Linked DNA regions of Coturnix japonica. The protein of the gene in region 1 interacts with the protein of each later gene in a pairwise test. Links are inferred from orthologs where the notes say so. Each region holds a gene or a part of one and is shown on either strand. Other genes may lie near its edges.

Region 1 (7,535 bases):
TTTTTAAACGAAGTGGTGTGTGTGTATCCAGCATATGGATGTCATAACTCGTTTGCTTTGTGTCAGATTCTGTCAAGCTGTGAATGAAGCTGTGAACACACGACCACAGTCTTTGGGAGATCACTTGAGTGAGATGCAGCTGCGTGGCTGCGAGCACAACCTGCAACCACAGGTGCTCCTGGTAATGGGAAGCACTCCCACCTGATCCTCCCCACTCATGTTGCTGGGAAGAGGTGAATCCCCGGAGTTAAAACCTATGGGATGGAAGCTGGATCCTTTGTTTGCCACTTTGCCGAGGTGGATTTCGTGCTTGTTTGGTTTATTTATGTGTTTTGGAAGCTTGGGAGCTGGTGTTGCTGTGCAGCAATGCTCTGCAGTGGAGCTGAGCGTGAGCTTTGTCGTCTCTTTGCAGTTGTTTGGTCCTGGGGATCCACAAGCAGTCCCCAGTCAGGGCTGTGTCTGATGCCTTTCCAGCCATGTGAGAGTGTTCACTGATAGTGAGACATCATTGGATCTCAGACCAGATTCCCAATTTCAGCTGAGATTCCTGTTGGTTAGGAGAGAGAGATATGTTTTCTTCATTATTGTTATTACGATGAGAGATAGAAGGATTTTTCCCTTTCTTAAGGTGGGGAAACCTGTGAGTAACGATTCAGCATTGCTGGATTTCCCCTGCTAATGGGAATCGCTCCGATCAGCTGCTGTAATCAGCCTCAATGCAGGAGTTTGATGGCTGTTGGCTTTTCCCCCCCTTGTGTTGCAACAAGGAGTGCAAACAACAGCCGATGGAAATGAAGGGTCCTGCCATCCCGCTGCTGTTGATATAGGGCCGATATGTGGAGGTTCTTCCCCCAAAGGGAGAGAAAACACCTTTCTGCAAGGCTCGATTTCTCCACACTTTGTCATTTTTTTTCTCTCCCTTTTTGTTTTTGGCATCCGTATTTTCAGCCTCACATCTGCCAACTGTGTGCTGAAGAGCTAAACGTGGAGCGTTTATCATCGGGATTAATCATTTTATTGAGCAAAGGCTTCTTACATCCAGAAATATTCGAGATCAAAGCTCTGAAAAACAAAGCTGTTGCATTATAGAAGAGAGGAGACATTTTCTTGGTTCGGCTGATAGAACAGATGAAATATCTGCACATAATGCAAGTTGGTGTCAGAAGATTCATGTAACTACAGCCTCTTTAGCATTTTGTCTTTGCATCTTCTGAATAATTATGAGCTGCTGAATAATATATTTCTCCCAATCTGCGCAAAGCCTTCCTAACCTTCCTGAGGAGACATTTGTGCTTTCTTTAATTAATAGATGGGGTTATTTATCCTATTTACAGCTGCCCATCGCTGTGTCCGTGCAGTGGCTCCGAGGAGCGGCTCCTGTTGTCAGCGTTGCCTTTTGCAGGAGGAGCAGCTTTGTCCGAGGAGATCCCCGCGATGCTTTTTATTCTGGAGGTTTCTGCAGAGCAGGAATACAGAAAACCATAAATATGTATTGTGGGTCGGTCAGCGCTGGAGATCGGTGCGTCCATCTCCTAGGAGATGCTGCCAGGGTTTGATAAGATGTTGTAATTAAACAGAAGTTAACAGGCAGAGGGGAGATGTGGATCCTTTGGTTTTTGCCTCCCCTGTAGCAGATTTGTGCCTAAACCCCCCCATTTCAGAGCTGTATTTCTGGAGTCTGTTCCCATCTTGTTTGTCAGCCAGAAATAATTTGTGTCTCTTTTGTGTTGTTTTTCTTTTGTCTTCAACAGAGTGAAATCTGTGTTTGGTGCAGTGAACGGGGGCTGAGCATGGGGAGTTTCATTTCACTTCTTATAGACCCTTTCATGGATCAATTTCTGCTTCCTACCCTTAAAATGCCATTAATGCTATTTTTTTTTTTGCCTTCCTAACAGCAAAACTGCTGTGGGTCAGTGAAGGTGCTGGTGGTGTCTTTGGGGCACGCAGGTGCTGTGGGGAAGGAGAGCCTTTGTAAGCTCCGTGCTGTGCACGTGGTTAATTGCTCATTGGGATTATTACCCAATAATCGTGTTGTGATTTTTTTGTAATAGAAGGAACCTGATTTGATGAGAGACCAGAACGTTTTCATCTGTTGGCTGTTCTTTTTGGCTGATGGATCATGGGAATTTTAGGGACATGGAATGCCCGATGTGGAACATTCTGCTCTCGCAGTGTTATCAGCAGTGATTTGGGTACAGCCTTTTTGGGGGTGATGTGGCCTCTGTGCTGTGTTGGGGGTGTTTTGTGTGTTCACAAGAATTGAGTGCTGTCAGTTCTGAGTTGTTTCCCCCTGCAGAGCCTGATGGCAACAAGTGGAGTGTACTTGCTGTTTAGTTGAAGTGCAGAGCTATCTGCTAACAGGGGTGTAACTCAGGAATTACACACTACCATAGAAAAACAGATCCTGCGGTGTTCCTGGGAAGACATTGCTCTGACTTGATGCTGTGTGCATGTTTTTTTGCACATCCATCTGTTCTTAAGGATCCAGAGCTGGAGCTCCGTGGTCCCTGGGCTGTGCTGGAAGCCTTTCTTGAGGCTAATGTGGAATTTTGCCCTCCAGTTTTAGCCCTTGTTTCTTGTTTCCATCCCAGATGTGGAGCTCAGATTTCTCCCTTCTCGCAGTTGCTTGTTGTGTGTTTGAGGAGGACTTAACGAGGTTTTGTGTAAATGAACCAAGTCTGGGACCTTTCTCTCAAAGGCAGAATGGTGTCTGATGTGGGAGTACGTATGAAGCAAAGGGGTGGGATTGAATTCTTCCACGTAGGCAAAAATGACCCTCCTGACATTCATCCACACTGTCGAGACCAACCAGTGGATGTATGGCAGTGAAAGGAGGGTGATGAGTTACACACCATGAAATGAAGAGCATCTCCATCAGCTTGTCCACCCAAATCAGAGGATTATGGCCAGGGAACTGCACAGAGCTGAATATTGGCTTTGGTGCATTGGAAACAATGGTGGCAATGTTGGAATATCACAGTTTGTGCCACCTGGGGCCATGAATGCAGAATGGAGCTTGTCAAGACCCACTGAACCAATAGAAGGCTGAAGGTTTCCTGGATCACGTTGTTACTGGTAATGAATTGTGGTGTTGCAAAGTGAGCTGGGAGTCAAAGCAGAATCCATGGAGTGGTGATGTGTTAATTCCCCACTGAAGAAAACGTTCAGCCCTCAGCAGGTGAAGTGATGTGTGCTGCATTTTGGGGCAGGAAAGGGCTGATTCTTCTGGATCTCCTGGAGTCCGGACAGACCAGCAGCTCTGACTGCATTGTAGCACTGACTGAAATGAAGGCTCCAACTCTCAGGTCAGCCCAGAGAAGAACCTTTCTTTTGCAGTGCCGGGCCCCAGACCGGTGTGAAGAGCAAACCAGCAGCCTTGGCTGGGCTGACCTACCACACCTATGTGGGAAAGGAGGAAATGCAGTCATTGCTGTTTTTTAGAATAATTCTTAGTTCCTTTAAAAATCCTTCTGGAATGAGTTTAGGATTCTTCAATGTATTATTAAGGAGAATTCAATTTTTGCTTAAACACCACTGATGAGGGAGGTTGAGAAACAACCAAATCCTGAAGTGATGTGGAGTGAGGTCGGTAAGAAAGCTGCTCTGTGCTGCTCAGCATGATGGCTTGTGGGTTGTCCCAGTGGGATCAGAAATGGCCCTATTGATGGAATCTCAATAATATCACATACATCGGCTCTTTGGAGACCTTTGGTGGGAAGCCTCCACCTTCTGAGGAGAGCTGGTCGATAGGGCACTGGAGAGGATTGATAACTGTGGATCGTGGGTGTAATTCTGACTGGATGGTTGGGATGCCCAATGGAACCCTTAACTTCAAGTGCATTCAGGTCTATATTTCACTGATGTCTGGGTTGGCTGCACCCCCAGCAATAAACACCTGACTGCCTCTGTAGGCAGATCCAAAAAACCTGTTTGTGCCTGGTGGGGCTCAGAAATAACAATGAATTGGGAAGGTGTGGAGAGCATGGCAAGAAGTAGTGCTGAGAGTTAAGATGTGCCCACTCAGGGTTGGGTTGGAGCAGACTTAATCAGTTAAGACTGGATATTTGGTCTCTTTTGTATATTGGCAGTAATCTTAGAGTACTCAGAACCATCAAGAGAATAAACCCCTTGATTCTTGTTTCTGAGTTTCTCATTTGTTTTAATGTTCTGCAGTTTGGGATTCTGCTTTTGAAGCTGGTAAGTTGGTTTTGTCATGTAGGATGAGAGGCGAGAGCACTCCAATTTTAAGTTAAAACCAAAGGTTCGTTATGCAAACATGACTGATTTTCCTGAAGGTAATAATTCTGTTGTTACAGTTGTGCTTACAGTGGAGCTTTTGCTGCCTGACAAAATGCAGTTATCCCATAAAGGGCTTTCTTCTTTCTCTTTGCAGGATGGCGGATACGGACCTTTTTATGGAATGTGAGGAGGAGGAGCTGGAGCCATGGCAGAAGATCAGCGACGTGATTGAAGATTCTGTGGTTGAGGATTATAACTCGGTCGATAAAACTACTACGGGTAATTAACTATTTTAGTCCAGAATTATTCCAGCTCTGGGTATTAAGGGGGAAACGGCAGTGACTGGTTATGTCTATCCTGTAAGTAATCTCATTTGATAGCTACGAATCCTGTTTATAACGTAATAAATGCCCATTTTTGAGCTGCTGTTCCATCTCTGTGCAGAAACTTGGGGGAAATTCTTTGTGTCCTGTGGCCAAAGTAGTGCAGAATCAATCATTTGCATTAAAGAAGATCAGGGTGATGTTCCTCATTGTACAGAGTGCTTCAGGAGGTACCAGCACCCAGCAGTGACTGCTTCAGATCCTCCTAAGCAGTTCTGAAGTGGGTGAGGTTGACAAGTGTTCTGCAGTTAATTGTGTTTCCTCTGTCTTAACTTACATAGTCACAACAGTGAGATTGAAGCTTGATCATTATTTTTTCTTTAACCCGTTATTTGAGGTAATCAGTTGCATTCTTTTTCTTCTGCCTGTTTTCTGTAAATGGGAAGATGTGTGGCTTTGATGTTCAGAGTTGATGTTTAATGTGCAGGTCAGCCAACGTCGTTATCCGCTGGCTGTGTCAGACGCACAGAGCAGTAATTGGTGGGTTGGAGGCTTTGTTTTCCAGGAGGTAATAACTCTGTTCGTAAAGAAGCTCTGAGTAACGGTGTGAGAGCGGTGCTGTCATGCTGCTGTTGGTGCCAACACCGTGAGTTGGGCTATTGCACCTGTTTTGTACCAATTAAAACTCAGCAATTAACAATTCAGGAATTAAAGAAGCATGAATGTTATTAGAGAAGACATTGCCTACTGTCCCTTTGGTTCTTCCCAAACACTTCAGTCTCGTGCATGGTGAAAAGAATATTTACCTTAGTGATATGCATGGCTGAAGTTGACTGGCCCATGCAACAAGTTGGGCTTTTGATTAACCCTTTGAATTGCTTTTTCTTGCTCTTTTAGTTGAGGTCAAGCATCAGCTTAATATCTAGGAGAGAGATGGGACTGTCTTGTTGTAGGCCTGTGTCTTGTGGTCCTACAATGATCTACATCCATGGAAGCATTCCTGGTAGTTTGGCTGCTGACTTATTGTGTTTGTGGAAATATTTGGCACCTGGGGCATTGGAGAGCTGGCTGCTAATTGGAGTTAATAAATGGAGGTGAGCTTAGGGAGGGTTTGCTGACTGCTGTCACCTCCTTCTTCTGGTCTTCATACAAGGAAAGGTCTGTGAGGAGCTTGCTTTGACAAAGGGTGTTTGGAGCTGGTAGGGCAGGAGGATGTTTGTGTCTTCAGTTCAGAGAGAGCTTAAGCAATCTCAGTGCATAACTTAGTGCTGAGATCGAAAGTGTCTTTAAGTTCCTTTTGGATGAAGGAACTGTGTAAATCTGCTTGTCAGACTCACTTAAAAGTCACCACATCATTTTTTAGTAAGATTTGATCAGACACAAGTAATGAGGAACGCATTGGTTTCAAATAGTGCACAGAACCCCTCTTGGAAATGTCTTCAAAGTGTCTGGCACTGCAGATGCATGAGGTGTCACCACGTAATGCGCTGGTGATTAATATTTCACAGCTTTACTAATGGAAGTAAAGGGAGACAGGTGTTTAAATCAATTACAGTTAATAAAGACTTGGCGATATTTGCGCGCCAGTTAGATTATTGCTTAAAAAATAAGAAGGAAAATGTGCATGGTTACTAAGATACATCTTTAGTAGATTAGTTGTTTATCAGTGAAATAACTCTTAACAAGTTCAAGGATCTTATCAATGGAATCAGCTATCCATGGGATCTGCTATCCAAATGATTCCTGGATCCTATAAAACATGTGGAATTTGTAAGAAGGACCCAAGTGGTGGTGGTTCCATTTCCTTCCTCCATCCCTTGCTGCGCACTGACTGATGCTGCCCCTGTGGTTGTGTGATCTTTAAAGTCCTTTCTAACCCTACTACGCTGTAATTTATCTCTCCTCTCTGCACTGGAGGGGTGGAATCACAGGCTGTTTGTGTTCATGTTACTGATAATGGTGCTCTGGGTTGCAGTCAGTAACAGTTGTAGAAATAATACCTGTGGTCTTTAATCCGTTAATTAAAGACATGGGCAGGGGTGCAACTGGAAATGCCTGAAAACCTCAGAGGTGTGTGTTGGTCTGCTTGAGAAGAAAGGAGGGAGGGCAGTGAGCTTTGCAGCCCCGAGGCAGCGTTGCTTTCCAGATGCACTGAGCTCAGTGCTGCAGAGGTAGGTCAGCTCTGGTTCTGCATCATGGAGCCGTTAGTCTCAAGGGAGGTTGGTGTTGTGGGTCAGATCTGTGTTGTTGTTATCTGCTGCACACTGGGCAGAAGGAACGTGCTGCTGATAGGCCCTGTGAAAACACACAGGAACGCACAGCGCTTTGCCCTTGGTTTGGTGATAAGACGCTGAGATTCTGCAAGGTAAAGCTGGGAAACACACTTAGTTTTGAATCTCTGTGGAGCATTTCAGCTTTGTGGTGCAATTTTTTGCATTCCCTTTGATGGCATCCATGCAGCAAATCCTGTGTGTGGTGATGGGCTGATGGCTGGACTCGGTGATCTTGGAGGTGTTTTCCAGCCTTAATGATACTATGATTGGGTGGACTTGATGGGGATGAGTCGATGGTTGGTCTGATTCTAGAGTTCTTTTCCATCATTAGTGATGCTGTGAGTGTGGTGGGGGTGAGTTGATGGTTGGACTTAATGATCTTGGAGCAGCACAAGCACGACTCTTCAGTCTGCAACGTGGTTTTTTCTTTCTGGAGCTCTGTGTTCACTGAGCTGCTGCCATCTCCTGTCCTGCAGGGAATCCTTGTTGGCTTTCTACTAGTCAGAATTAGGGGTGGCAAAGTGCCATGGGGACATCTGTCCCGTCTGCAGCCCATGTTGGCCCAGTAACCGGGGTCACATCCTTATCTCATTTGTGACTGCAGAGTGTTCACACCGTGCGCTGGGTCTGAGCTGTCCCAGCTTTGGGCAATCTTTTTATGCTCATGGATGTCATCTTGCATTTTGTTTTACTTTAATTA
Region 2 (7,535 bases), on another chromosome or scaffold:
GGCAGCCGTTAATGGTGCAGGTGAGCGGAGGACAGCTGATCACATCGACTGGCCAGCCCATCATGGTGCAGGCTGTGCCTGGGGGCCAGGGCCAGACTATCATGCAAGTCCCCGTTTCTGGAACTCAAGGACTGCAGCAGGTGAGATAACCCTGATTTCATTAGAGATAAATTGCAGATAATGAACTGCTGCGTTCTTGCCTTGTCAATTAGAGTGTGTTTGCCTCAGCGCTGTTAGAATGGCCTGGGCAGCGATGGTTGTGGACCTGCCACAGTGAACTCCATTAAGAGTGGATCTGAAATACGCTTTGTATTGGGCTTTTGTATTTTAAGGGATGGTGGAAGCCTTCCAAGTCCGCTAGAATACACTTGAATTCTTTGAAAAAAGAAAACTTGAGAATAATTCTTGTGCTTGAGTTCATCTTCCATGTGATGGCAGATGGTGGATTTAAACATTTCCGTTGTAAATGAAGTAAATTGTGGAAGGATTCATGATGGTTTGATTGGAAGCAATTGCTTCTGATTATTTCAAAGCCAGTTTATGAATGTCAGCAGGTGCTCAAAGCGCATTCCTCAAATCTAAGAGAAGAACTGCTAACAGCAGCATGTTGGAAGTGTTGTAGTGATCAGAGAATGGGATTTGGGAGTGACATTCTGCACGGTGCAGGAAGGCACGTGGTGGTGGTGGTGTCCTGAGAGGTTTATTTAGTTACTGAATTCAAACTCTTTGGCTGAAAGACAATATTTTCTGTGTTAGGTTCTTGATGTGGTTGTTGAGGAAGGTCTGTAGCTGGGCTCTAAAGCAGGAGCTGCAGACCGTATCCCAGTTTATTTTATCACAAAAAAAATAAACGCTCTGCAGATACCTTAAATCTCACTCCTGGTTTCTTTGACCTGAGCAGTAATTCTAGTTTTGTGTGAATTTATTTCTTCTGACTGTTTCACTGTGTGAGCAGCTGAGAGCTGCTGGAACGTGATGGCACTGGCATGTTACGTGTTGAGTTTCCTCTATTCTGTATGTTCTGCTGTTCTATCAGTGACTGCAGTGTCACAGGGAAGAGCAACTTAAAACTCTTCATTTTAAAATAGAAAAAAAGAGAAGTATCAGTGCTTTTTTGTTGTTGTTTTCTTTGCAGCTATAAATCATCCTCAGATGATCTGGTAATGCTGAGGCCAAGGAGGGAGAAATAAGAGGCATAGTTAATGTTCCTTTCTGACTCTTTCTTCCACAGATTCAGTTGGTCCAGCCAGGTCAGATTCAGATTCAAGGTGGGCAGGCTGTACAGGTACAGGGGCAGCAGGGCCAGACCCAGCAGATCATTATACAGCAGCCACAGACTGCAGTTACTGCTGGCCAGACACAGGTAACTGCACCAGCATGGAAGGGTTTTCTTGAGAGGAACAGGAAGAGAAACTTGGCAAATGACTTTCAATGTGGTTAAGTAAAAAGGGAAAAAAAATATTAATGTGGAGGAGAACTTGAGAATAAAATTAATATCTTTGTAGTGTTTCATACGTAACCCTGGGACAGAATGAATAGACTGCATGTTCTTATCCATCGTGTTTCTGTATATTGGTTCATGGCTGTTTTTGTCTCTTTGTTGCAATTTCCAAACATAAGTATTGCTAATGTCATACTTGCGCCATTTTGTGCAGTAGTCCAGTCACACCTGGGTTTTCTGCTGTTTCTTTTGGTTAGGACCAGAATTTAATGTTCTGATAATGGGACAGGAAACAGGGAACTTATTTCTCTGAATGTTAAATACAACAGTATTAGGAAAAGTTTATAGTATGTGCTTCAGGTACTTTACCTTCAGCTCAGTTGGTTTGTACTCCATTCTATTTCTTTATGCTAGTAATAAAGCAAAAGAAATAACGTGCCTGAAGCGCCATAAGCACTGTGTATTAATTGAGGAACTGTGGGATTTGAGAAGGAAGCAATGTTTGAAGTTCCTGTGTTCTGTTTTGTTTAGACTCAGCAACAAATAGCAGTTCAAGGACAACAAGTAGCGCAAACGGCTGAAGGGCAGACCATAGTCTATCAGCCCGTTAACGCTGACGGAACCATTCTCCAACAAGGTATGAGCTCTGGTGCAAAAAGTCACGACCTCACAAAGTCCACTTGGTAGGTTTTCATTGCCTCATAGAGGCTGTCAGTGCACACAGTGAGTTGCAGTGGTGGTTGGCAGTGCTGTGACTGTTGTGATGTGCTGGCACAGCGAATGGAAGAAGAGAGGTTTGTATTGTTGGACAGGAGTTCGGCAGGTAGATCTTTCCACAGAAAACTGAACAATCCTTTGTTTTTTTGGCAAGAGCTGTTAGAATGGGGATGCTCATTCGCTTCTGCGATTCCAAATACCTGCTGTCTTACCTGAGGCTGGGATTACAGTGCAGATACAAAAAATACCAAGTACGGTTTGGTTGATGCCTTGTAATGCATTTCTAGATCTTACAGAAGGGTGAATGAGTGGAAAACAGAAGCGGGACTAATGGTGTTCCCTTCTTTCTGTGTGCGTGTTTTCGTTTGTTTTGTTTTCTTTCCTTTTGTGTTTTATTTTCTTAAAGTTACAGTCCCTGTTACAGGCATGATCACCATTCCAGCAGCCAGTTTGGCTGGAGCACAGATTGTCCAAGCAGGAGCCAACACCAACACCACCAGCAGCGGACAAGGGACTGTCACAGTGACACTGCCAGTTGCTGGGAATGTTGTCAATTCAGGTGGAATGGTTATGGTATGTATTTAACTCTCCATTCAACTTGAAGGTACAGCTATATGGTGTCAGTGTGTAAGGTGTTGTCTGAGATCCTTGCCAACTGGATGTTTCAAAATGAGCTGTTAGCTGATAAAGCAGACATTTGGAAAGATGGAATCGACTGTTGCATTTCTTGAGGATTCCTTAGTAGTTGTTTTTCTGATTTTTAGGATTTTTTCCACCCATTCTTCCATCTCTGCACTTTGATGCCTTTCAACTTGAACTTTATTGTTCATCCCCGCTAGATGTCAGCAGCTCTATGAGAAATAACTGCTTAAGAAATGCTCTGAAATTATCATATAAATTAAATAATTCATAGCCTAAAAGAAGGGGAAGTGATGAGTGTGTCCTGCATGCAAATTAGACAAGAGGCAGTAAAGTAGTCATAGAATTGTGTATTGTGTTGAAATTTTACCGTTATCAGGAGGAGAAGGAAGTACAAATGGTGCGTCATTGGGTTATTTAAGTTTGTCCTGCAGTTTGAGACTGACTTTATTCCTCATTTCAGTTTAAACTGCTGTGTTAACCGGAGAAAAAACAAGCCCATTCCATCGTAAACACTTCTCAAAGTATATCCCTGCATCCCCTTTTCATTCTAAGCTGAAAGTTCTGAAACCATTCTTCTCTGTGCAGATGGTACCTGGAGCTGGATCAGTACCAGCCATCCAGCGGATACCTTTGCCTGGAGCAGAGATGCTTGAAGAAGAGCCCCTCTATGTAAACGCCAAGCAGTATCATCGAATCCTGAAGAGGAGGCAGGCACGAGCAAAGCTTGAAGCAGAGGGGAAGATTCCCAAAGAAAGAAGGGTGAGAATATAACACAGAGCTAATGCAGGGCTGTTGTATGAGGAAGGCACAGAAAAGCCAGAAAAATGAGGCCTGGAATCTTAGTATTTTTTCCATTTGTTTTTCTTGTTCATAAACTATGTTTGAGTAATCGCTGAGTCCCTTGGTGGCAGTAAGTGCTTTCTTTCCATACGTTTAATAGCTCATCTAATGTCACTGTATTGCAAATAGGCCTTTACTGTAAGCATTTTATTTCAGGGGTGGGGGAGAAAAACAGAATCTGCATTGGGTTTTTCTGCTGTGTTCTCAATTACTGTGAGTACTGAACTGAGGAGGAATGTGCTGCTCTCATTGCTCTTCTCCTCCATGTTGTGACAGAAATACTTGCATGAATCTCGGCATCGTCACGCCATGGCCAGGAAGCGAGGAGAGGGTGGACGTTTCTTCTCACCAAAGGAAAAAGACAGTCCCCATATGCAGGTAAGGAGAATTTTGCCTGTTCTTTGGGCAGCTCACGCTTTGAGTCCTTCAGGTTACATTTTAGAGGAGCATTTCTACTGTTCTCTGTTCTTCTGAGTTAGGCTGTTGTATGTGACTCTCTGATGTTATGGAAAATGTTGGGAATTACAACATGACATTTATTTTTTATCTGTAGGATCCATCTCAGGCCAATGAAGAAGCGATGACACAGATGATCAGAGTCTCCTAATCACTGCTGACATAAAAATGTAACTGAATTCCTGTCCCTTCTGCAAGTCTGTCCTACCTTACCAGTGTATCAAGCAAGTCTTTCAATGGGACAATCACCACATCGCAGCCTATCCTTTTCTACAGAACAAACACCACTTTTTCAGTGTGTGGTAAAGATTTTAACTGCAGTTGACTCGACTCATAGAAACTTAATGACTTTCTTGGTATACTCTTCTAATTCAGCGCAGGGATTTCAGTCTGACAGCTCATGCCTTTATTTTTTTTTCCTTTATAACATCTCTTGCATTAAGATTGGCCATGGTGAGTGTACTGCTGACTGACCAGCAATAACTGGTGTGCTGAAGGAGGGCCAGCAAAGACTTCATGGAGTTATGACCCTTCTGCACAGCGACATAACCCAGTTCATAGCAACCAGCACTGATGTGGCTATACCACGGTACTTTGTTTTCCCAGGAGAGGATTGTTACTTACATCCACTACTTACATCTTTGGATTTACCGTCTACTGAACTGTTCTCTACTGTTGCATCTGCACTTGCAAAACTGACAGAAACTGAAGGGGTTTCTCTTAAGCTCCACTCTGTAAAATATGTATTAAACAGCAAGCTTTTCTCTGGGAAGAGTTCAGCCATCCAGTCAAAGTGATCAGAGCAGTTCAAGATTATTATAGGACTTGATTTGTTGTGTGTCTGTTCCGGGAAGTAAGAGTGGAGAGGGTTATTGATAGAAGGGTTTAGTTAGTAAATAGGATTTATTGGTGTTTTTTGGTATGTTTATTGCCAGCAGGTCATGCTTTGGAAGAAGAGTGGATGCCAATATTAAAGTATTGGAACTTCCAATTGAGTCTCTTCCAAAGGATTATTTTTAAGGTCTTTATTTTAACCTGACCGGTCTGATGCATGGTTCTCCAACAGAAATACAATCTGCAGTATCAGAGTGAAAACACTTGGCCACCTTTTTGGTAGTATTTCTTGATGTGTGTTGTAAATCAGTTCTACAGTTCTCATTCTGCATAGAGAGAGGAGCTGTTGAATGATGGTGGAAGCACAGGGCCGCTCAACCTGGTGCATACTGATGTTTTGGAAGGATTATATACCTGAACAACGCGACGCATTTGCAAATGTTGTGTTAATAATCCAGCATTCTGCTCACCAGTTTTACACGAGGTTTTTTTCTAGCTATTCTAAAGGCATTAATGGCATTTTGGTGCCTTTGGTTGCTTCTGCCTTAAATTCGTGGCCAGTCAGAGCGCGGTGCTTCTTTCTTTTTCAGTCAGTAACTGTAAAGTCCTCACCTGGAATCTCGTGAGGTCACCCATTTCAGGAAACCCATCGCTCTCATTTAGTGAAGGAACAACAAAGTCTTTTCCTTAGTTGAATTTGCCGCACTATTTGTAAATACTTTTTTAGCCTCTGTACATTTTGTCAATAGGATTTTCATGTGCTGGAGGAACATTTCTGTGCTGAACTGAGACGGCCTCCATAACGTTTCTGCTCTTCAGCTGACAGCTAATCTGTGTCCCAGAGCACCCCTCAGGCAGTTGGAAGTTATGGAAGCAGAGATTGTTGCTCTGACATGAGTTTTTGTTTATTTCTCTTAAATTAGTAATTCTTGGTTTCCTTAAAGAAGTCGTAAACTTCTCCAACACAACTAGAACTCTTTTTTTTTTTCTCCCCCAATGAGCCCTTCATATATAGGTTCTCTGATCTGTTGTTGTAGAACGTGTACTAAGGCCTATGGATTCGTGTTACTTAGGAAGCTTTACTGTTAATACTTCAGATAAGGACGTGGAGGCCGGAGTGCAGCTGTTGGGTTCCTTACCTGCAGCGGGTCAGTTGTGAGGACGGTCCTTGAGTGATGCTGGAGCACTTCGAGGCTTTGCATGTTACAAACAGGAGAGAGGGAAAGAATCTTTGTGACTGGATGTGTGTGTGTGTAAGGGGATGGGGGGTGGGGAGGTACTTGCATCATGTAAGGCAAAGTTTGTATATAGTTTAAAAAGTTTATAATTTTTTTTATATAATGCATTTTTTCAAGTGTATTTTGGTCTTTAATAGATGCAATTGTAAGTACTGTGTACACTATCCAGCTAATAAAAGTTTATAAACCAAGCAGCGGCGTTGGCTCTGCTTTTAATGCTCCTCCGACTCAATGGCCTCTGAGCTGCAGGAGGAAGGAAGGCTGCGCTCACTGGGTCAGTGTTATTCTGTGTGTCCTTTGAGTGTGCAAAGAAATTAGCATGGTAGGTTTTGGTTTAAGGCAGTAATGATTTGTGCAGAAATCTGCTGTGTCTTTAACCTTCCTGGACACCTGTTGGCACAATGCACCTCCTGCCTGAGGGCAGCTCCGGTGTGCATGGAGTCATTCATTATCCCTGAGGAGGCTTCCAGAAGGGCCAAATGATGTAGAAACAGCCCTGGGGCACAGGGAGCTCCATGGTGCAGGGCTGGAACCTGCTCATGGTCCTGTGAGCATAACAGGACACTACCTTCACGTTACTGTGCTTCCCAAAGCATTTACTCCTTTGTATTGCTGGTTATCTTCCAGAAGGGTGGTTTATTCTTGTCCCCAACCTCCCTCGTATGGTGCCATTATCTCTATTTGCTCAAATATGACAGAATGGAGACTGTTAGAGCTTATTTTTTTTGCATTTTGGTACAAAAGGAAGTTTTCCTCTTAAGAGGATTGGGCAGGCTTTGAGAGGTTTAAGAAATGCTCAGCTTCCATGTCTGCCTGCTAATCCCTCTCAGTCGTGCTGCTCCTTCCACACACGCTGCTCAGGATCTCTCAGCAGTGCTGTAACTCCAGCAATGATAACAGAAATACCTTTATCAGGGCTGGGGTCCTGCACTGTTAGTTCTTCTGTACAGTGTTGAGTAGTTGTACGATGCTGCATTGCTGAAGCAGTTCTTGTATGCGTTCATTGTTTGCAAAGCTCTTTGGGTTAATAGCTGCCATGTATATATTTGTATATAAAGCAAAATACTGTGCTAAGCCTGTTCCTTTGTTCCTCATACAGGGTGTTCATGGAAGAACTGGAATCACTGCTGCAGTTCTTGGGGCTTGGTTCTGCCCTCCAATGTGTGTCCCTATAGATGCTGGTCTGCTCCTTTGGGGTGTTGCTGGCAGTTCTGTGGTCATGATAACAAGTGTGATTGTGGGCAAACAGAGCAGAATGAATCCTCAAGGACATCGCAGCTGAGGATTCACAAATGCAGAAGAGCATGAAGGGCAGCGGCCCAGGGGAATAAGCAGCATCATAGGCCTGGAGGGAATGCCCGCAGCAC

The links.
Region 2: the proteins of POGZ (region 1) and NFYA interact in binary tests that used the Homo sapiens proteins (3 or more experiments, as listed by UniProt). The two-hybrid records come from large-scale screens. The link is inferred for Coturnix japonica from reciprocal best matches to the Homo sapiens genes POGZ and NFYA.

The regions. Positions count from the first base shown.
Region 1 is NC_029540.1:2,351,596-2,359,130, forward strand, and holds part of POGZ (pogo transposable element with ZNF domain), read left to right. Parts: intron 1-4,393; 5' UTR 4,394-4,394; coding exon 4,395-4,518; intron 4,519-7,535. UniProt on the Homo sapiens protein: Plays a role in mitotic cell cycle progression and is involved in kinetochore assembly and mitotic sister chromatid cohesion.
Region 2 is NC_029541.1:4,505,714-4,513,248, forward strand, and holds the end of NFYA (nuclear transcription factor Y subunit alpha), read left to right. Parts: coding exon 1-140; intron 141-1,231; coding exon 1,232-1,363; intron 1,364-1,972; coding exon 1,973-2,078; intron 2,079-2,564; coding exon 2,565-2,731; intron 2,732-3,385; coding exon 3,386-3,559; intron 3,560-3,916; coding exon 3,917-4,018; intron 4,019-4,193; coding exon 4,194-4,247; 3' UTR 4,248-6,356; downstream 6,357-7,535. UniProt on the Homo sapiens protein: Component of the sequence-specific heterotrimeric transcription factor (NF-Y) which specifically recognizes a 5'-CCAAT-3' box motif found in the promoters of its target genes.